Linked DNA regions of Pelodiscus sinensis. The protein of the gene in region 2 interacts with the protein of the main gene of each other region in a biochemical or structural test. Links are inferred from orthologs where the notes say so. Each region holds a gene or a part of one and is shown on either strand. Other genes may lie near its edges.

Region 1 (7,864 bases), on a different chromosome or scaffold from region 2:
ATCCTAGACTCCAAACACACATGATAGACAAAATGTCCATTCATGTTACAGACCTTTCATTCTTCTCTATACCAACTGATCCAAACACTAGCTCAAGGGTGGTTTTCAGAAGGAAAAATTTCACCGTAAGCATAAAACCACTCTCAAATATCAGTTGAAGAAATCTCCTTCAATAGCTACTCTGGTATTTGGTGCTGGAAAACTGAAGCTCCAAAGAAGTTTCCCAGAAAGTTATCAAAGAATAAAGAAGAAAGCTTTGAAGGGAAAGGAGAGAGAGAGAAAGAGATGGAAATTTGCACATTTACACAAAATGCTGTCAAAACAAGCAAGATACAAATACACTGAAAAAAATAAAGAAATCATTTTATCTTCTTTCAGTTTTAAAATCACAGGCAAATATTTGCAGACCAAAACGTGATTTAAGTTGACAATGTAATTTTAACTAAGCCTGACCGTGCAAAATTAATTCTAAGATAGCGCAGTGCTAAGTTATGCCATAACATCCCCCACGCATCACTCACATTGCATTCAAAATCATACACATCAGATAACTTTAATTTTAGATGTGTATGCCAGTGGTCTTTAGGATTCCTTTAAAAATAACGGCAGATAAAATTATTCATAAGTGTGCAACTTGCCCAAATAAGTCTCAGAGAAAGCATTAAATAAAACACTTGAGGTAACACTGGATGATGTGTGAGTCTTGTGAGCAAACTGCTTCATTGTGCATTTTAAGTTTACAGTACTTTGTAGTAATGAACAATTATATTTTTTCCTTCAAATTATACAGTCTGTAAAAAAATCATCTGAGCACACGATTAATAGCTTTTTTAAAGCTCACTGCGGAGCTACTTCCTTCATTACCTGACCTCTCCTTATCTTGGCAGTCAAAATATATGGTATGTTGTCAGACAGATTCTAATCCTACTTCCATGGGATATGATTTGATGATAATGTTACTAAAAGACCAGATCACTAAATCAGCCCGCTGTTTCCAAAGACTGTCAAAACCACAACTAGAAAAAGCCCATTGCAGTCTTTCAGATATTACTTTACAAATCATAATATTTCTTAGGGTTTTTTCTTGTTTTGATTAGCAACAGCTGTAGTATGTTTTGGATAATAAACAGAGAAGCAGGGCCAATGTGAGGTGGGTGCTGTCACTTTCCCCCACATGGCCCTCTGCTTGATCATTGGCCCTGCTCCAGGCTGTATTTAATTTACTGGCGATTTAGACAATTTATTTTTATTACATATTAAAACAATAATGATCAAAAGTGCAAATTATATTAAAAATGCATATGTGACATTTGCTTTGTAGAAGTAAAATCTTCCTTACGCCATATACAAATAAGGTTGAAATATGTTCCTCCATTTTAAACCAAGCACCATAATGAATTCCGTAACATGAGCTGTGTAAAGTACTGTATAAAATACAGAGATATGCTCATGCGTCACACATAGTGGGCTAATGGTCATTTTGACAATTTTGAGTGTATTGATGTTAATGTGGTGAAACGTGGTCTTAGTTAAAGCTTTAAAGAGAGAGGGGGGAGCAGTAGCGTGGAGGGTTCAGCAGTAGCATGGAATTTTATGATTTAGAAAAAGATCAAATTAAAATGATATTTTCCCTTTCATTTTAAGTTACTAATATTTACTTGCGCATACATTCATATCAGAGAACAAATTGAAACTAAGTATCCAAACACTAGAAACAGTGACATATCTTGATCTATCTAAGATATGTCTACGGATTACATTGTTGTCCCAAGCCCACGGATGGATCTGGTTAAATTAGATTGTAATTTTATTCACTTAACGTACCTGGGAACACGTGGCAATAATCATTCTGTTCAGTTCAGCATTACTTCCTTCATCATTTGTACTTATTTGGGAGGGCTGCCATCAGCCCTCACTCTTCTCAACACGATTCTTTCAAGGGACCCTGTCAGTCTCCATGGTATGACGGGGGAGACTCAGGGAAAAGCAGAGGAAGTTGCCTTCCTGCAGTATCAGACTTTACACTACCCAACCCTACTTCCTCCAATTTTCTTAGGGAATGCCTTCCCGCACGACCCCTTCCATAGCTTGTTTACCTGTCTAGGGCACTTGCTAAACTCATCATCTGGCCTAACTTCCTTCCCTACCAGCTGTGGGGAAGGCACCTCCATGTGGCCAAGATAGAAGAGCAAGAAAGATTCCTTCCTAGCCCCCAAAGGAACAAGTGACTAGTGAAATGCCCATCCTTAACATACAAACCTGGCCTTATACTAATCCTACGGGTGGGTGTTGTTGGCCCTAGACAGAAAGAGTTCTTACCATGGTGCATGGTATAAAGATCCGCCCCCCTCTCTCCAGATTGTTGGGCTATTGTTTTTCCATACCTGTTCCTGCCTTGTCCTTTCCACCAGGCTCTGTCCAGGTGTGTTCTCTTTCCCCACTCATTACAATTCATTCCTTTGAGTGCTGCTCCCTAAGAAAGTTTCACCTTCTTTGTTTCTGCAGCCAGACAAAGACTCACGGCATCCAGTTGAAGTGAGCATATTTTCATGTAGGTGATGTACTCATCACCCACAGTGTCTTCCTTGTCTCCGGAACCTCCTACTGGCTGTTTGCCTCTCACTGCACCTCCCATGGTTTGGCCCATTAGCCAATTCGCTTAAAGCTCAATCACACGTGGCATAACAAAGGGTCCAACTAGAACTCAAAGGTGTGAAGTCCAAATAATAATTCTTCCACTCCTTTTCTTTTGGGTGACATTCAGTGTTCTCATTGACCCTCCCTCAGGTCCTCTCTCACAGGAGCCGTCATCTGCTTATGCAGTTGCATGTCCTGTTCTCAGGGGCTGGTAGGGGAACATAGCCCAAAGATCCTGCATTAAATACCTAAGACTGTTCCTTCAGACATGCTATTGTTTTCCTGGGCCGCTTCCTACCTGTAAGGTCCTTTGGCTGCTTCTCTGCAGCCTGTGTTTAACACAGCCTCCCTTTACTACTTAAACCTTGGGCTTCTCCCACCCCAGCTGACCTAATAAGTCTCCCACCTCCTGTGGGCTCCTATAAAATGCTTTTACTGACCTATCGGAGGGCCTCCCTCAAAGGAACTATGCTCGTTCTCCTTCCCACAGAAAAGTTTTGCTTTCTTTTTATTCTTCTCCCCTCCCACAAATTGAGTTCTCCACCCTGTACAGTCTTGTCCTAATCCCTTCTCAGACTGAGTCACTAATTAGCCTTAAATTGGCACATCCTTATTGGCTGGAAGCTAGCTGCTACGTCACAGGCAAGGTTGAGCCTTAAAGGGCCAGCCAGCCTGTGGCAATAAACTTAAAAACTGCACATTTCCATTTCTAGCAGGCATGTCAATCAGTGCACTCTTTACGTAAAGAATGTTGCTTTGTTCTTCGTGTTGTCTTTGCTAAGCTACCAGTAGAGTTACATTTACCTGAACTGACAGTCTTCACATAATAATACTTCATTTTAGACCTTGGAAAATAGGTTACAGAATATTTTTTATAATAAATGACAAAAGTTTAGGAAATATACGTTCTGCTTCAGCACTCCCACCAAGCCTATCATCAGTATCCTAGCAGTACATTATCTAAGTCCTGATGGTCCAGCTCTCTGAGATTAAAGCAATTACAATGCATTAGCAATATGTGCTGTAATTTTAGTTTTCCTCCTCCACTCTGTCAACCCTTGGATACAAAGAGAAACAATTTAGAGTTACTGTCAAAAATGGAATAAGAAAATGAGTAATATGGCAGTGTTATATCACTGGATAATAAGCGGATTTCATTCCTAATCAGTTTCTTCACCCATCACATCTTTTAATATGCTGCATTCTATCACTGCAATCACCTGGCTCCTACCTACCATGCATATCTACCAATCCCACCATGTTGCTTTGATTTTCAATTGCTCAGTCATTTATGCCAGCAGAGAGGTCAAAATAGTAATGCATGGGACCACAAGTAAAAGGCTTTAAAAACAAAAATGAAAGCTATCCTAAGGAGAAACAAAGAGGTGTATTTTTAAGTGCATTCACATGGATGCACCATTTTCTTTGATTTTCCTATATTGTCAACATCCAGGTTTATTAGAGACACAAGGTGGTGATGTAATATCTTTTACTGGATCAGCTTCTGCTGAAGAGACAGACAGGTTTTCGAGCTTACATAAACTTCTTCTTCAGGTCTGTCTGGCAACAAGACTGCATGAGAGCCAGATTTGGCATTTTATCGGAATGCCATTTTTAATACAAATGAGAAGTCCTGTGGCACCTTATATAGTATCATGAGTTTTCATGAGTAAAACTCATGATACTATATATATTTTTGTAAGTTTCTAAGGTGCCACAGGATTATTCGTTTTTAAAGTTACAGACTAACACAGATATCCCTCTGAGATTTTTAATATCAGTTCTCCCAAACAGGTGGGTTGTAACCTGAACTCAGTTCCATTTATGTACAGGCAGTCCCCGAGTTACGCGGATCCGACTTGCGTCGGATCCGCAGTTACGAACGGGGTTTTTCTCGCCCCGGAGGACGGGAGCAGCGGGACGCGCAGATGAGCCGCGGTCCCGCCTCCCGCGTACTCCGGGGCGAGAAAAGCTGCTCCGCGTCTCCCTGGTCAGCTGGGGGGGGAACCCCCCCCCAGCAGACCAGGGAGATGCTGAGCAAAGCCGCGGAGCACGCGGGCAGCGGGACAGCCAAGACGCGCCACGGCTGTCCCACTGCCAGCGTCATCCAAGGCTTTGCTCCCCGTCTCCCTGGTCTGCTGGAGACCAGCAGACCAGGGAGACGGGGAGCAAAGCCGCAGAGCACGCAGGCAGCGGGACCGCGGTGCGTCTCAGTCCGCCGCCCGCGTCTCCCAGGTCTGCTGTGGCGGGGGGGGAGGGAAGGGCACAGCTAGTGGGCGCTACGGGACCAACCAGGCAGTACCCCAGCTGCTCTGCCCCAGGCGTCCTGATTCAGCCGCTGCTCCTCCTGATTCAGCCCCATTCATTCGTCCTGATTCAGCCCCAGCTGCTCTGCCCCAGGTGTCCCCAAGTCAGCCGCTGCTGAAACTGACCAGCGCTGACTACAGGAAACCCGAGGCAGAGTTGCTCTGCCCCGGGCTTCCTGGAATCAGCCGCTGATCAGTTTCAGCAGTAGCTGACTTGGGGACGCCTGGGGTTCTTAAGTTGAATCTGTATGTAAGTCAGAACTGGCATCCAGATTCAGCCTGTTGAAACTGATCAGCAGCTGATTCCAGGAAGCCCGGGGCAGAGCAACTCTGCCTCGGGCTTCCTGTAGTCAGCCGCTGGTCACTTTCAGCAGCTGCTGAATCTGGTTGCCAGTTCTAACTTACATACAGATTCAACTTAAGAACAAACCTACAGTCCCTATCTTGTACGTAACCCGGGGACTGCCTGTATACTGAACAACAAAGACCATGACTAAATTCAAAATGCTCAGCTCAATGTTAAAGACACACCCAGAAGGTTACTAGTAGTGCAGTTTTCAATGCCTCTTATTTTAACAGGTACTACTACTCTGTGAAACTCATAAATTCCTACTGCTATTAAGGTATATGACACAGCTAGCTTTAGTTCACTTGTATTCAGTGGAAAGATTGAAAAACAAAGGCTCTGCTTAGAATTTTTGCTTTTCTTTTTCATGACCAATGCTTTGAGCTCATTTGTAGACATTTCCTATTCCATTGATTTTAAGATCAAAACTAAATAGAAAATTTAATAAAAATGTATCTATAACTCTTGAAGAACAGAGATTACTTAATTGTAATTGGAGTCCTTCAAGATGCTTGGTTCCTACGTGTGTTCCACATGTTGGGTATATGCCTACACTATATGCCCAAGTTCAGAGATTCTTCACAAGCAGTGTTTAATGGCCCACACATGCACCCTCTCTTTATATTCTAGACCAAGTGCATAAGAAGCAGCATAGGCCAACACCTCTCCAATTCCTCTTCTTAGCATGACTCCAACAGGATCCAAAGCAATGGGGTGGATAATGGAATACACATAGGCACTGCCCATCTGGAAGAATTTCTGGCCGCAGGTAAGTAAGCTCTATTTCTTCCTATTGAACTGTAGGCTTGATTACGGGCAGAAAGGTCCTGACTAGGCCCTTCAGGAATTTGTTGTTCAGTGAGTAAAAATTGAATGCCTATCTACTACATGAAGGAAGGCACTGAACACTGCTTGATGGGCTTGCAATAAGCAAAGGGAAAAAACCTGAATTCTTCAGTGACAGGAGATAACCAAAAATGATTGAAATATCTGCAGAGTCCGAGGAAGACGGTTTGGGTTATGGCCAGGCAAAGAAATGTCTCTGTTTTCTCCGTGGTGGCAGCCCAGATGCAATGTCATGGCCACCCAGTCTTCTCATACATGGATGATTGACTCCAAATAGGTCACTCCAGCAATGTGGTAAAGTTTGTGACTTTGTTCCTGTTCCATCTTTGAGCAGTACTTGTCAGTTGCATGCACAAGTCCACTGTGACCCTCACAAGGATTATAACTTTTGTTAGAGTGACTCTGGACCCAATTTCACTGCCTAAAGGCCTCGCTTTGTTCCATCCATTCACCAGACAAAAGACTGCATGGCTGGTCAGGACACCGGTCACTCCCTGAAGCAAGTGAGAAAAGTCACTCTGCCGTTCATGTAGTCCTTGTATGGGGAGTGGATGGATAGCTCAGAGCCAAGCCTATAGGCAGTGTAAATGAAGTCTGGCAAATGGCATCACATCGAGGCCATTTGGCCTAGTAGATACAGGTGTATTCTGACCGTAGTTTCTGGTTTCCAAGTAATATGTGATATCAGATTGCTCATTGATTGAAATCTTTCTATGGGGAGGAAAGTTCTTACTAAAATTGAGGGCCACAGTGGACTTTTGTGAAAACCCTGGGAGCTGTTGCTAGTCTAAAAGGAAAGACTCTGGTAGTGTTCTTGATCTATCAAGAACCAATTAAACTGTCCGTGGGATAAATTATTATCTACATCAAAATAGGCATCCTTTATTTTCACAGCCATAAACCACATTCCCTTACTGATGCTAGTTGTAACCATCCTAAATTTTGACTTCTGAATAAAGATGTTCAATTGTCAAAAGTCTAAACTGGACATCCACCCACTGTCTTTTTGGGGAGCTAATAAGGATGGAGAACAGAACCCTTTCTCTTGATACACAGGTGGATATCATTCTTTTGCCCTTCACTGGAGAAGAGAATCTGACTTTTAGAAAACAGTATGTTTATGAGAGTGGTCACTGTGGAGGAACCAGGAAGGTTGTTTGTGAGTGGAATGGGAGAGATATTCAACAGAGTAACCAGAATGTATGGTTTCTAGAGCCCACCTGTCTGTCATGATAGAGTCCCAATTGTGGGTAACAAAGTGAGTGATATCCTCCAAAGACTGGGGGGTGGGGAAGAAGGGAATATACATGGCTGGCATGAATAAAGATAGACAGTTCTCAATTGCGGTGTCTAGAGTAGTTAGAGCGTGAGTGGGAATGGATAGAGGTCATAGCAGTAAAAGTGTTGAAAATCAAGGTCTTTAAACTCTCTGGCACACGCACAGAGACTTGGCTAGAAACTGGTGGTAAAATGTTTTTGGAGGAAGTGGTGTTGGCCTATATACCTGCCCCTGATGTTTTTCTCAGAGATCATGGGGTCAGTGTACAAATGTCGAGAGTAGGTTTTCTTACTGACCAAGTAAGATTCATATGGCAAATCATCTATGGCAGTGGTTTTCAAAGTAGTGTGGTGGGCCTTCTCAGGTAAGCTCTGGAGGGCCCACAACACTTTGTTTAGCTAAGGGTCCACAGCCACGGAGCTTCGCAGCTTCCATTGGCTGCGGTTCATG
Region 2 (7,700 bases):
CTTGGAATCCTTGTGGATATTTCCCAGCAAACATCTGCTCCACGTGCAGTGGCAGTTTGCAAACTAAAAAGCTAACTGAACGTCGGGACGCATTAGGAAAGGAATAGATAAGAGGACAAAATCCCATATTGTGTCTATATAAAGCCCGGTATGCCCACATCTTGAACACTGCATGCAGATCTGGTCACCCCAGCTACAAAAAGATCTATTGGACATGGAAAAGGTAGAGAAAGGGCAACAGAAATGATCAGGGGTAAGGAACAGCTTCCATCGGAGGAGAAATCAACAAGACGGGGGCTCTTCAGCTTGGAAAAGAAATGACTAAAGGGTGGGCAGGGCCGGCCCACAACATTTTGGCACCCGAGGCGGGGAGCTCAAATGACGCCCCCAAGCCCCCTCGCTTGGGCCAAAACTTTGAAAGGTCTACAAAGCCCTTGTGGAACCTCTTTGCCAGATGATGGGAAAGTCCAAACTGTAACAGGGTTGCAATAAGAACACACTAAGATCGAGGAGGGCGGGTCCATCAATGGTGATTAGCAGGTCTCCACAAGCCGCTGTTTCTACTTGCCCAGGTGAGTAGGTTGCAGCCGGTCGCTCCGTGCGCCCCATTCACCGGCGCTTCGTGCATGCACGGTGCAGGCCTGGTGAGGAGCTCTCGCCAGTTTGTCGAGCCCTGGTTATTAGCCAGGATGGGCAGAGATGGTGTCCCTGGACTCTGTTTGTCAGAAGCTGGGAAGGGGCAACAGGGGATGGATCATGATGAAGCCTAATCTGTTTATTCCTCCTGAAGCACCTGGTGCTGGCCACTGTCGGCAGACAGGATACAGGGCTAGAAGGACCTTTGGTCTGACCCAGTCTGGCCAGTCTGATGTTCTTACATTTCAGCCCCTAAATATCTGCCTCCTGCTGTAACCCACTAGACCCCACTCCCCTTCCCAAGCTGAGAGAGCCCAGGAGTCCTGACGGGGTCGGTCTTTCTCCCCAAAGTTAGTAAAGTAAGAACAGACATTCACATTTCCAGCCAACCAGTGTCCCTTAAGCAACTTTCCACAAGTTATCAGAATACGTTAGTGGTAGAGCTGAGTGGGGCTAATATTTATTTTCTTTCTTTTATATAGGAATTGGATACAGTGCTCCTGCTACCTGCTAAGTTGTCTGCCAGAAAAAGCAGTTTCCTCGTGCCCTAGCAGCCCTGAGATAGAGATTACGTGGGGTTGGGGGGAGGGCAGAAGTAATTGGTTCCCCCCCCATTTGGTGCTTAGCTTGTACTGCTGAAGCTGCTGTCCTCAGTCTGCCTGCCTCTCCTGCTCTCACTCTCTCTGCCCCACCCATCCTGGCACATACAGGTTGCCCCCCGCCCCCCATATTCTGAAATGGTGCACCTGCAAGACTCATTCAGTGCAATGAATCATGGGGTTTTACGTATGGACATTTGGATGGGTGACGGCATTTTGACACAGAATTCTGTTCCAGGCTGCAATGCCAACAAAAGAATGTGAAAACATCCTTCGACCTCAGCAACAGAAGCATCCCAGTGGGGAAACACACAACCACAGCAAAATTAACAATGAAAAGACAGCGAATGTGACTTGACCTGAACTACGTGGGATGTAGGGGGAGAACATTGCTCAGCTCCTTTACATTCCAGGGAATAGCTTAGTACAGAATAATTCTTCCCCCTCCCCCACTCCCACCCCCGCCAATTTAACCTTTCTGTTCAATCCAACCCAACCCTGCTTAGACACGTTCCATGCACTCGCTTTCTCCAGGGTGGGCAAAATCCAGCCCCAAACATTTGGTTGCAGCCAGCTGCGACCCAGCGGGACCCTGGGGCAGGCTCCCTGGCTGCCTACCCCACCTCCAGCTCAAAACCTCCCATTCTTGAAGCCAGTGACTCCGCATGGCAAGGGCAGTGCTTGTGGGGACGTGCAGCACGTGGAGACCCTGCACCCCCTCCAAGGGGCCACCATGCAGACACACACACACACACTGGCCACAGCAGCCAGCCACGGTGTGTGTGGGGGGGGGGGGGGCATAGCAGGCAAGGAGCCTGCCTGACAGTCCCACAGGCCACCAGCTGAAAGCCACCAACGTAAGCACCTACCAGCCAGAGCCTGCACCTGGTACCCCCTCATGGACCCCAACACCCTGCCCCAAGTCACAACCCCCACTGCAGCCCGGCCCCAGGCCTGAACCCAGCCCCCTCCCGCGCCCAAGGGCGCCCTTGATGAAAAGCGCAGCCCCCGGCCACTCACCAAATTCTTGGCCCGCCCCTCCCCCCGAGGTACTGCCCACTCAGGGCACTTTCCGGTTCACACTCACCTTGCAGGAATGCTCACACCCGCCCCGCCCCGCGCCAGCCCAGTCGAGGGAACCGCGTCTCCAGCCGGCCACGCCTGGCGCACCTGCCCACCGCCGGCACCCGGCTGCGGGGCGCTGCTCGCGCGTGGGAAGCCCCGCGGAGCAGGGCCCGGGCTGTGCACTTGGGCCGGGAGCTGCCGCCGCCCGCCCGGCTGATGCGCCCGAGCTACCGCCGGGGCCCCGGCGCCACGGGGCAGAACCTGCCGCCGCGCCCCGCCCTGGGAAGGCGCCGAAGTTGGGCAGGCACCAGCCAGCTCCCCGGGCGGCTCGGGGCCGCGGGCAGAGCCCGGAGCCAGGCTGAGCGCGGCGCCGCGCGCCCCTCACCTTTGATGCTGATCCCGAGCCCCCCCACGTCCTGCTTGACGATCCGCACCGTGCGCCGCACGTTGGCGAGCGCCTCGGGCACCTGGGCGCACGGCTCCCCGCCGTTCAGCTGCGCCGGGCCGGGCGGCGGCGGCTCCTCGGCCCCCGCGCCCTTGGCGGGGCTCAGGCTCAGGAAGTCCTCGGCCAGCGTGAGCAGCACCCGCAGCCAGTGCTCGCCCGGGGCTCGCAGCTCCAGCAGCCCGCTCTTCGGGGCTCGCCTGCCGGCCGCCATCTTCAGCGCATTCCTGGGACAGCTGCGCCGCCTCCCAGGCCCGAGGGGGGCACCGGGCACCCAGCCACCCCGGGCGCCGCCCCCGGCGGTGCCGGGCACATGGGCCGCCCGCCAGACGCCCCCGCCCAGGGAGCCGCCCCCGGACACGCCTCTCCCCTCCCCGCGCCGCGGCAGCACCGCCCGGACCCTCCCTCGGAGCCGCGCCGCTTCTCGGGCAGGGGGCCGGTGTCAGCAGCCAAGACCCGAGCCCCCACCCCCTCCCGTGGCCGGCAGCTCCCTCCCGAGCCGAGCATCAGGTGGCCGCTAGGGCTAGACGCAGGCAGAACCCGGGCGAGCTTGTCCAGATGTCCACAGACAAAGGCTCAGGGCAGGGGGGCAGGGCACTGGGACTTGGGGTTCTTGGGTCCGCGGCCCCGTCCGCTTTTAGCTGCCTGGCCAACCCTGGAAATGCTAAAGGAAACTTAAAACCAGCACATAGTCTGGTAGCACTTTAAAGACTCAGGAAACTGTCAGCCCCCGTGGCCTTCAGTGGCGGTAGAAGCTGTTGTAATAATGGGCCCTGCACATTTACCCCAGTGTAAGCTCCGCTGTGAAACGTGAGTGAAAGTTGCTAAATTATCACAGTCACCTGCTGCAATAAATGTCACAGGGAGGAAGGCAAAAGGCAGAGCACAAGCCAAAAGGCCAACTAATATAGCTCAAGACTGAACCCAGGCCTGAGAGCTAATACCAGTACGCAAGGTGCGGAAATTGGTGTCGGACATTAACCCTCTTGGTGAACAAAGTGCTAAAAGGATGGGCTGTGCCACCCAGTGCTCCTTTGGGGGCTTTTTTTTTTTTTTTTAAAGGAGACTGTAGGAACCAACAGCTGGAGGCTCTCACAGTCCTGGACCCATTGGGAGAGGAGAGAAATGAAAAAAGTGAGCTGCTCCCTTGTGGCTGCCACCCCACTTGGTCACCTGAGAGTTGGAAGGTCTTTGTGGTAGGCGGAAGGGTGTCCTGAGCAGACAGAGAAGGACCCAGATGACCTCATCACTTCCAGCTGAACCCCAACAAGGCCTGGCGTGAGGGGCTTTGTGTCTCTTCCCCTACTATTGTCCTTTCCCTTCTTATTTCTTCTCTTTCCTGACCCTGCCCTTTTTTCCTTCTGTCTAAGGATTGTCCCGCTTTCCCGGCCAAGACTACATATTTTGCTTTAAGCCTGTGACCAAAAAAAGGCAGCTAAAAGCTATGATCTAAACAGTCTGATGCTGGGGCAAGTTTGCCAGGCCTCGGAGTGACTAAGAGGATCCCATGCTGGGCAGTGAGGCTGCGAGTGAAAGTTACCAGCAGGGGCAGAAGCTGTGTTCTCCCTTCCCCTGTGTGTGTGTTTTCATGTTAGGAAATGCGATGGGACTATTACAGCAGCAACCCATCTCACCTCAGTTCTTCTCCGTCCCCCAAACATTTGTTGACATTTGTTGCCAGCTCTGACACATCTAAAACTGGACCAGGAGGATTTTCCTCCTAGAAACTCTCCCCAGCTAAAAAAAATCAAATAAAATCCTTTTGTTATATTTCACATACTCTACCTGGGCTGCTTTGTAGTCTCACCCCGCCCGGGCTCCAAGGCCCCACCCTGCTCACTCTGTGGAGCTGGGGTACAGGGTTGGGGACACCCTGACAGCACCCCCTCTTCTGCCTCTCCTACCCTGCACAGCCAGCAGGACACTCCCAGGGAACAGCTCCAAGGCAGAGGGCAGAAGCAGTGGCTGAGCGGAGAGGGGCAGCTGAAGAGCTAGTGCTTGAGAGCCTCCCGGCCAAACCGGTCAGGATGACCTGCCAGAGGCTCCGGGATCTACCAATAGATCCCAGTCTACTGGCTGGTGGCCGCTGGCGTACCCCAACCCACAACCCTTATTTGAAACCATTTAATGTTGGTCAAGTGCCTGGTTGATGCATTCAGGCTGTGTCTACACTGGCGCGATCTCACGCAAAAGCGGACGCTCTTGCGCAAAAACTTGCTGCCTGTCTACACTGGCCGCGTGTTCTTGCGCAAGTAAACTGACGTTCTACTGTATGAAATCAGGGCTTCTTGCACCAGAACTCTGATGCTCCCGCTCATGAAGAAGCCCTCTTGCGCAAGAGCTCTTCCAGAAGAGGCCAGTGTAGACAGGCAACATGAATTTCTTGCGCAAGAAAGCCCCATGGTTAAAATGGCCATCGGAGTTTTCTTGAACAAGAGAGCGTCCATACGGCCATGGATGCTCTTGCGCAAAAGCACATGCCAGTGCAGACGCTCTCTTCTGGAAGGGTTCTTGCACAAGAAGCTGCCAGTGTAGACACAGCCTAACACCTTTGGGCCCTATATTCCATGCAAATGAATACACAGTGCCCTAAGCTCTTTGGAGGACCCGGACCTTCTCCTGGTGCTGTTGTTTCTCCAGCTATACAATTAGGCTAATAGTCACTTGCCTCACAGGAACGTTCGGGTCAATTCACTCACGTGTTTTCAGTTCTTTGAGACAGGAATCCCTAGGGACCGGCCTTGTATTAGAAAAAATGCTGTGTGCATCCCAGGTATTCGTCTGGCAATTTCCCCAGGCCAGGCCCCGAGGAGTCTGCACAGAGGGCCTGCCCCTGAAGCCTGGAAAGAGGACAGAACAGATGTGGAGAAGCAGCTGTCCACAAAGCCCCTCCCCAGCAGAGCTTTCCCTCTCCTGGAGGCAAACAATTCATGGCTGTACAGGAGACTCCACAGGACTCCTGAACTAGGCCTGAGAGCAAAGCAGAATGCCAGCAGGATCATACAGCCACAAACGATCCCTGCTCTCCGCCTTCAGCAGATCCATGTAACCGGAAAGCAAAGCAGAATACACCTGGAAAGGGGGGGCCCACGGCCAGGTTTGACTGTATCCAGCTTTTGCTTCTTTCATAAAACTGCAAGAACTGGAGACATCTCTGGGCAAGAATCCCACCGAGGCTGTATAAGAACAGGGAGCATTTAAAGCCGACCGCCTTTGCAAAGGCTGCGCTGAAGGTGTGGAGGGAGCCGATTCTGGGCGTGCCAAAGCGATCGCAGCAGGCGGTCCTGCCAAGCAGCCCTCCCGTGGTGGCTTTGACTGCCCTAGTGCCGCTCACCAGCGGTTCTCTGAACATCCAGCCCACACCAGGCTGGAATTGACTTGCCCCCGCGAGCAAAGCGCACTTTTAACAGAGCGAGCAGTGCGACCTCTGGACAGACGGCAACTGATTTCCCTTCCCATGCTGCCCGGCATGAAAGCACTCCCAGTCAGCATCGGGGTGCAGGGATGAATAAATACTGGGGAAGAGAGGGGGTCACCTGGTAAGGGAATCTCATACCTTGGGCCGCCATCTCCAATCGTTCAGGGCCCTGTTCAGGCACCGAAGTGAGTCGGGTTTTTTTAAGGGTGCCGCGTGGGTGCTGAGTTCTTTTGAAAATCTGGCAGCTATGTAGGTGCCCAAATAGCAATACCCCCTGGCCCCGCCCCCTGGGCCAGGCAGGGATGCCCCCAAACAGGCCTTTACCTGAGTGCACTGTTGCATGTAGGTCTAGATCAGCAGCTCTCACTGCGGGTCAGGACCCTGCTTCAATGGGCTTTCCAAGCCTGGTGTTCAGACTTGCTGGGGCCCAGGACAGAAGCTGAAACCTGAGCCCCACTGCCTGAGGCCAAAGCCCTGGCTGGTGGGGCGCAGGCTTCAGCCTCAGCCTTGGGCAGCAGGGCCCAGGTTACAAGCCCCTCGCCCAGGCCTCAAGCCCTTGGGCTCCAGGTTTGGGCCCCCTGCCGTGGCAGTGGGGCTCTGGCTTTGGCCCTCCCCACGCAGGGCTCAGACAAGCTCAGACTTTGGTCCTGGGACCAATGCGGGAAGGACTGAAACCCATCGGCCTGGGTTATGCAGGGGTAGCCTAGCTAGCCCCAGTGGCCCCGTACAGCCTTAGCATGGATGACTCTAGAAATGCTATTGCGGTGAATGGGGAGGCAGCATTTTCCGGACATTCCAGCCATTCCGTTAGCTAAAGTCTTTACTGAGTAGTGGTAACTCTTTAGACCTAACCCTAACCCTTGCCTAGAAGGATTAAACCATAGACAGTGAGTCCCAGAGCCCTCGGGAATGCTTAGGGAAGCCGTGCGTTGGCAAGAGACCAGCAGCAGTGTTTCCTGTAAGCTGTGTGCTTGTGCGGCCTCTCAGGAGAGAGTCAAATGCCACCCAGCTGATTGGCACAGTGCCCACAGTAGGTTTGTGTTTCTACTAGTGGTGCACATTCACACAGGCCTTGGTGGACTTGAAAAAAATTATTCCACACAAGGGTGGGAAAGAGAGGGAACATTGACCAGGAGAACCAATGAAAAGAGTATGAACTTTTGAATTGGACGCAGCAGCCCTTCTTGTTCCTGTGTGACCACAGCAGAGGCCTTGGAAGGAGCCAGGCCTGGAGAATCCAGCGACACCTATGCCCACGGAAGCATTCAGTCTTGAAACTACAGATATGTGAGTAGAACAGGGAATGTTTAGTCAGACCCAGTCAGGCGATTTTCAGGTTTGTTGGATTTCTCTGTGCTGAGCACATTTAACTAGCCCCTTACACTGTAACTTTCCAAGCTGAATCCCAGGGAAGCACTTCAGTGTTTTTAATCCTTTTTCAGTGGCTGGGCTGCCAGGTGTTACTGAGCAATGTCTTACCAAAAGTGTTGGGTTTTTTTAAATAAAAATCACCCTTTCAAGAACTTGATCTGATTCCTGT
Region 3 (7,435 bases), on a different chromosome or scaffold from region 2:
TTCTCTTCTTTCATCTAATTCCACATCTCAATCTGTTTCTCTGAGATCTTTTCATGGCAATTATCTAGCCACCAACATGAATTTTAACATAGTCAAAAATGAATCTGAGATTTCCTCTGAACTCCTTTCCCCTGCTCCCTATTTTCTCCTGCTGTTCACAATATTTCTATCCTTCCTGTCCATCAGGCACATAATTTGGCTGTAATTTTTGACTCCTTCCTTCCCTCCAATCCTCTCTTCATTACTGCAGCCCTATCCTTTTCCACTTCCCTGACACATTACCCTCCTCCAATCCAGAGCAAACACAGGTGTTACAATCACCTTCCACTACTCTGATCACATCCGATCTTCACATTTTCTTTGAATCTCCCTCTAGTTTCCCTTTTCCACTTCCCTTATATCGAAGTGACTAAAATTTTCAAGAAGCAGCTAAATGACATTTTCAAGTGACTAAGATCTTGTTTACACTTGAAATATGACAGTAGTACCAGTGCAGCACTTGAGCTGTGTCACTGTATTGCTTCAGTGTAGACATCATAGCAAGGGGAAGGATTCTCCCATTACTGTAGGTAATCCACCTCCCCAAAAGGCACCTCCCCAAAGAATTCTTCCGTCGACCTAATGCTGTCTATACTGGGGGATTAGGTCATCTTAACTGCCTTGCTGAGCTTCCCTGACCATACCTGGGGCATCTGTCAAGGAGGGACAGGCCTTGCCCATAAGGTATTTCTTGGGCAAGCTTTGTCCTTGTGCTCTGTCAAGGTTGGGTGCAGTCTCACTGCACAGTCCATGACCTGTGGCAGTGGAGCTGCACAGTGATCTCCCATCTCTGTGCAGCCAGTAGCCAGAGTTCCCCACTGTCATGCTGGGGCCTCCACATTTATTTGAGAAATAAAATTTGCAGAATTTTGCAGAATTTTAAAAAATTGTGTGCAGAATTTTTATTTTTTGGTGCAGAATGCCCTCAGTAAAACAATTCTGCCTCTCCCTATTTAATCACTCATCTTTTATCACTTTCCTTCATCCCTGATAGTCCAGCCTTGATTGCTGCTCCTCACAAACCATCATTTTATTCTCTTCCAGATCACCATGGAGTTAATCCTCAAAGCTACTCACACATTCCGCCTCTCCAACAAGTATTCCATCACAGGAGACAGGCATATGCACTGTGCAAGTTACAATGTATATAGGTGTACATGCATTGTGTTTATAGATTTGTTTGTACATTACAATAGTGCCCAGAATGTGGTAGGCTTTGTAAAGACAGATAGAAAAAAAACTATCCCTCACAGTTTAAAATCTACAGGATAGCCATAGACAAATGCATGCAAACAGTATAGGTTAAAGTCACTTTTTGACGGCTGCTCTCTAATGGCACATACATGCACTCTCATCATCACTATTTTTTATGCTAAATACATGGCTAAAAATCTTTGTTAGAGCTAAATTACTGATGCTGCGGTGCCAGGGCATGTCTACCTTGGCAGATTATGGGAATACTGGAAGTATGGGGGACAGTAGATCAGGCACCATGCATGGTGAAATGTATGCATTTTGCTGTGCAAGCTGCAGTCTTGAGAGTATATGCTAACAACTAAACTTACATTTTCATGCTTCATGTGTTTCAGGAGGCGTAGTTCCCGATAGGCTCGTTTGGCAAAGAGTTCAGATTGAAATGGACGGTACAATTTCTTGATGGCCACTTTGATGCCACTTCTTCCATCAATAGCTGAGCTTTAAGAAAACAAGTATAGAGTTTGTGAGTGAGGATTGGAGTGATGCTGGAAGTCCTGACACGCAAGGTACATTGAACAATAAGTTAGAGGACTCCAGGTGTGGGGCTCTGCTCCGCCTTGCCATTGATTTGCTATGTTACAGAGGCAAAGTCACATAACCTATCTGTGCCTTTGTTTATCTTACTGTAAAGTGGGAATAATAACTCCCTAAGCTATAGCTTCAGAACTGGTTGGACACCATGAAAATAGACCATTCTTCCTAGGCAATTCTGATGAGCCACAGTAGAGGTCTATAAAGCAATGTCTGAACAGAGGTCAATCAGCTCTCATACTGTAATAAAGAATGGAACATTCTGATGAAGTCAAAATGCAAAAAAGATAATAGGGAAATGCAGTTTTACTGGATTATGTAACTGTGGAACTCACTGCTACAGGACACCGCGGACTGCAAGACTTTAGGGTAGCTAGGAAAGTGCTTGCCTATATCCATGAATGGGACCATGCAAAGTTACACAGAAAGGCTAGAAACTCTCATGCCTCAGGTGATGAACTCAATGCCCTGCCCCCTGGCACTAAGGAAGAGCTTTTCCGGGCAGGATCGCAGAACTGTCCGCTTTGGGCTTTCCTTCCAACTTGCCCTTCGTTGCAATGTGAGCGCGGAGGTACCGGGCGTACGCCTTTCCCTCGCACCGGAGCCGGCCGGGCCGATGTCGGAACTGGCTGCAGTGACTCCGGCACCGCGGGGAGCGGTTCCGGGCCCCGCTGGGGGCGGAGCAGCCACAAAGTTGGAAGGAATTAAAGGGAAAGTGGCCACGCTTCCCCCGCGAGCCAGGGACCCCCCGAGCCGCCTCCCCGAGCCCTTTCTGCAGCGCCAGGGCGGGGCGCCAGGCAGAGAGCAGCCCTCTGCTAGCCCGGGCGCGCAGCGCAGGCAGCTCCCGCCCAGCCCTGTCCTGGCCGGGGCGCCCTGGGCAAGGCGCTGGGAGGGACCCCCTGCTCCCCTGCCTCACTCACCACACAGCGCCGTAGGCTCCGGAGCCCACCGGCTGCAGGTCCCGGTAGCGCTCCCGCACCTCCCACAAGGTTTTCGTGATTTCCTGCCGGTAAAAGCCTTTCTTGGCGGAGGACATGGTGACTCGGCCCCCTGTCGGCGCCTTCCAACAAAGAGCCCCGAGGCGGAGAGAGGGGCTGCGGCGGCGGGGCTGGTGCGAGGGGCTGGGCTTGGAAGCGCTCCCGGGGTGTGTGTGTACGTGTGGGACCCTCTCTTAGCGGGGATTGAATGTGGCTCCGGCTTTCTCTTTCCCCGCCTCTCCTCTCCCCTCCCCACCTCCACGCCTGCCCTCTCGGAGGAGGAGGAGGAGGAGGTCCTGTGGGAGTCACACTGAATTCCCCCCTCCCCCTCCGCATCTGGGGCTGCCTGCTTTGTCACAGACACATAACTTTCCTGCCTGCGGTTGCTGCCTGATGGCGAGGCTGGGAGGGTCTCAGCCCCTGGGCTAGGGAGGATCTGCTCGCTCTTCTCAAACCAACTCGAGATCACGTGGTGAGATGTCGCCCCGCACCCCGAAAGGCCCCCCATTTCTAGCCTGTTTCAAGGAAGCCTGTTGTATTCGAAAGCAGCTTTCTAGCTAGGTGTGATCTCTGAGTTCTCTGAAAAAGGGAGGGTCTAGCTGAATGGCACACGCTCTTATTTACAGAGAGTGTGTTGGGACATGCAAGCAACAAGACAAAAGAAAGCAAGGTTTGCACGCTGCATTACAGACAAGACCCCGGTGAAGAGGGGTTACTTATATGAGGCCCCAGAGCCAATGCTGCAAACTGGTACCTACCCACTAATCCAGTTAGTTGCCTATATGGAGCCTAGATGTTTGTCCCAGTGAACAGTTTGATAAACATTACACTGACACAAGTAATCAAAAGCAGCATGGTTTTGCAGTAAAATTTGGTATATATTTTAGTTCCATGGCTTTTGTAAATGTTTTTTGTCTCAAAAAAATAAAATACACTTAAAAGGCAACGTCTTGTATGCACATGAAAGAACCCAAGGGTGGCTACTTCCATCTCTTTTTATCTTTGTCAGAGCTACTATGGTCGATTAAGGGGATGAAGGAACATTTGATCAGTGGAGAGTTATTGTTAATTTATTCCAGTGGCATCTAAAGTCTCCCACCAACTGGACTGGGGCCCAGTTGTGCTAAGCACTGTGTGGACACAGAATGAGGGTACATCTACACTGTGGAGTTTTTCTGGAAAAATGGGAGTTTTTCTGGAAACACTACACTTACATCCATGCTGCTATTGCATTCTTTCGACAGAAAGTCAAAGGAATGGAGGGTTTTTTCTGTCAGCGGTATACTTTTTTCTACAAGAAGCCTTTTTTCGAAGAAGCTTTTTCCAAAAAAGGTGTGTGTGGTCACGGAAGAATGTTTTTTTGAAAGAAGAGGCCTGCAGGAAAAAGCACAGGTGCCCTGGTGGCCACTCCATCCACAGTAATCACAACTGAAATGCGAGATAGCGTTCAATTAAAGTGGATGCTATCTTTCGAAAAAGCAGATAACTTTTTCATTGCACTTTTGCTCAGTAGACACTCTTTTGAAAAAAGTTTTTCTGGAAGATCTCTTCTGGAAAAGCTTCTTCAGAAAGAAGCTTGCAGTCTGGACATAGCCTGAGAAACATATCCTGCACCAAAGTGAATAACTGAAAAAGTTTGTGTAGATAAACAGATTTAAACAAAAATTGGTGGATCATACAGTGAAAAGGTGTAACTGTCATTAACATTTTTTTCTATTTTTGCTGTCACATAACATGCCATTCTCTACTTCTCCCCAAACCTCTGGCCCAATTGTCAGAGTAAAACTCGTTCACAGTTTCCCATTTCCCTATTATCCTGTCTATATCCCTCCTTCACATCAGCAGACCAGGGAGATGCGGAGCAAAGCCACGGAGGACGCGGGCGGTGGGACAGCAGCGCGTCTGGGCGGTCCCGCCACCCACGTCCTCTGCAGCAAGAAAAGCCGCTCCGTGTCTCCCTGGTCTGCTGGGGGTCCCCCCCCCCCAGCAGACCAGGGAGACGCGGAGCAAAGCCGCAGAGGACGCGGGCGGCGGGACCACGGAGCATCTTGGCGGTCCCGCCACCAACGTCTCCCTGGTCTGCTGGAGGGGGCGCAGCTAGTGCACCCCTCCCCCCCAGCAGACCAGGCTTTTCTCGCCGCTGGTCAGTTTCAACAGCGGCTGAATCTGGACGCCTGGGACAGAGCAGCTGGGGCGCTGCCGGGTTGGTCCCACAGCGCCGAGGTGCGGCACTACTGGACCAACCCAGTAGCACTCCAGCTGCTCTGCCCCAGCCGTGTCCAATTCAGCCGCTGCTGGTCAGTTTCAACAGCGGCTGAATCTGGACACCTGGGACAGAGCAGCTGGGGTGCTGCCAGGTTGGTCCCCGCAGCGCCGCACCTCGGCGCTGCGGGGACCAACCTGGCAGTACCCCAGCTGCTCTACCCCAGGTGTCCCCAAGTCAGCTGCTGCTGAAACTGATCAGCGGCTGATTCCAGGAAGCCCGGGGCAGAGCAGCTCTGCCTCGGGCTTCCTGTAGTCAGCCGCTGGTCAGTTTCAGCAGCAGCTGAATCGGGGACACCTGGGGTACAATATGTACCAGTTCCGACTTACGTACAAATTCAACTTAAGAACAAACATACAGTCCCAATCTTGTACGTAACCCGGGGACTGCCTATATTGTTGCATCAAGTAAGTGCTTACAGTCAAGCTGGTTCTGCAGTATAACTACATACTACACAGTGAAAGTGAACAACTTTGGTACATATCACTTAATATGTAAGTGGAGCCTTATACCTTAGTTCCTCCAGTGCCACAGACACATCAAGCTGTTTAATTCCTCTGCTGTATTTCTTCTGAGGTAATGCCAACGTATGCTACATCCTCTGTCTCTGTCTTGCAAGTGCTTCCTTGATTTTTCTCATGTTCTATTTCTTCACTCAGGTAACCAATTCAGTGCTTGCTTAGCATGTCTCTTCTTATGTTCTTAAGTTATGTTCTCCCATTTTACCACATCATGTGTCTTCTTTCTTTGCTGATATGTTCTAGCATGTCCTGCTCTGTAAGCTCTCTCTCATTTGTTATTTTGTCTGCTCATGAAATGTGTAGTGTCTTCCTTAGCCATTTGTGTTGGGCAGCTTTCAGTTTCAGTTTCTTTTAGCAACTCTCATTGGCAAAGTCTCTGCTCTCCACAGTAGCATGCTCAGTATAATTGTATGATATAATCTGATCCTTAGTTTGGAGTAGAGATCTCTATCAGAATGGTTATGGGTCATATTTCCAAAAGTGGTGTTTCTTTTCCTAATCTTGTAATATCATCTTCATCACAGCCTCCTTTAAATGTCATCACACATTCCTCACATAGCTGAACTCTTTCAACTTTTCAATTTCTTTTCCATCAGTGTACATCTTTGAATCTGTTGTTCAGTTTCCTACCTTCATAATCTTGGTTTTCTATGCATTTACTTTCAATCCAATTTTTTTATGCTTCCTGTTCTACCGCTGATGTAAGGGTAATCCTTCAGTTCCCCATCATGCTTAATAAAGCAATGTCATCAGCAAAGTTAAGATAATGTAATTCATCTCTGCTAACCCATTTTACAGAATCCATGATACCTTTTGTTGCTTGCTTCATCACCCAATCTATTACTAATGCAAAGAGGTTTGGTGATAAAACATACCCTTGTTAGACACCACTCACAATATTGAAACATGTAGGCCTGTATCTCCTCTTAATTTAGGTCTCCTTCCAGCATATAATGTTGATAAGCTTGTTGGTATCACATAATTTCTAGCAATATTCCCCAGGGTTCTCTGTGGACTCTATTAAATGCTTTCTTTAAACTAGAGAGAGTTAATTAAAATGGAGTATTAGTTGCCAACCAGTAGCTTTTTCAATGATCTGTTAAAGAGTGAGTATCAATTCACAGCAGGAACTATCTGGATGGAATCCAGACTTGTAATATTTCATTCACTGCCACCTTCATCCTATTCAGCATAAAGGTAGCCAATTATTTCCTGGGATTGTTAGCCGTACAATTCCTCTTCAGCTTGTGCACTGAATAAGATCAGACTTTTTGGCAGTGCCACAGTGGTACCATATTTCCAGTTTTGTTGCACCTGTTACCTTAACTTGTCTATATTTCATTACAGAGTTTTATTAGCTGTTCAGTCAGAATTTTCCCTCCAGACTTTATTAGTGCTGATTGAATTCTGTCAACCCCAGAATCTCTCCCGTTTAAGAACTTTGGTGACTGCAATGCTGTTATTTCATTAGATGTTATTTGTCCCCCTTCTATTTCTAGCTTACCCATGGAATTTCTCACCAAGCTTTGTGATCATTGACTTTGGTCACGTTAGTATAGAATGATTGCCTTGTTCTTTATGCATTTTCAACAGGTTCATGAGAATCCCTGCTGGGCACCACCTGTGACAGTCTGGTTCTTCCTGATATGTATTTGACTATTCTATGGAGCTGCTTGAAATCTCCCTTGTGCTCTTTCTTCTGCCTCTGCAGCCTTCTCCTGAACCCAGGTTCTTCTATTTTGCCTGCATTTCTTCTTTATTCTCTTGTGTTGGAAAAGACTGATGTCTATCATTGATTAGGGTATTTGTGCTACAGACATTTAAGAGCCATTTGCCATTATTAGTTA

The links.
Region 1: the proteins of SNTA1 (region 2) and FRMPD4 interact in a test that uses a peptide from one of them, tested with the Homo sapiens proteins (2 studies listed by IntAct, with this or other methods). The link is inferred for Pelodiscus sinensis from reciprocal best matches to the Homo sapiens genes SNTA1 and FRMPD4.
Region 3: of the proteins of SNTA1 (region 2) and MAPK12, one has a biochemical effect on the other in vitro, tested with the Homo sapiens proteins (2 studies listed by BioGRID and IntAct, with this or other methods). The link is inferred for Pelodiscus sinensis from reciprocal best matches to the Homo sapiens genes SNTA1 and MAPK12.

Annotation. Positions count from the first base shown.
Region 1 is NC_134711.1:214,148,699-214,156,562, forward strand, and holds the start of FRMPD4 (FERM and PDZ domain-containing protein 4), read right to left. Parts: upstream 3,090-7,864; 5' UTR 2,456-3,089; coding exon 2,385-2,455; intron 1-2,384. UniProt on the Homo sapiens protein: Positive regulator of dendritic spine morphogenesis and density. Required for the maintenance of excitatory synaptic transmission. Binds phosphatidylinositol 4,5-bisphosphate.
Region 2 is NC_134728.1:33,977,823-33,985,522, forward strand, and holds the start of SNTA1 (alpha-1-syntrophin), read right to left. Parts: upstream 3,085-7,700; 5' UTR 2,957-3,084; coding exon 2,686-2,956; intron 2,461-2,685; exon of another isoform or gene 2,323-2,460; intron 1-2,322. UniProt on the Homo sapiens protein: Adapter protein that binds to and probably organizes the subcellular localization of a variety of membrane proteins. May link various receptors to the actin cytoskeleton and the extracellular matrix via the dystrophin glycoprotein complex.
Region 3 is NC_134711.1:37,391,796-37,399,230, forward strand, and holds the start of MAPK12 (mitogen-activated protein kinase 12), read right to left. Parts: upstream 3,090-7,435; 5' UTR 2,864-3,089; coding exon 2,748-2,863; intron 2,552-2,747; exon of another isoform or gene 2,274-2,551; intron 1,735-2,273; coding exon 1,605-1,734; intron 1-1,604. UniProt on the Homo sapiens protein: Serine/threonine kinase which acts as an essential component of the MAP kinase signal transduction pathway.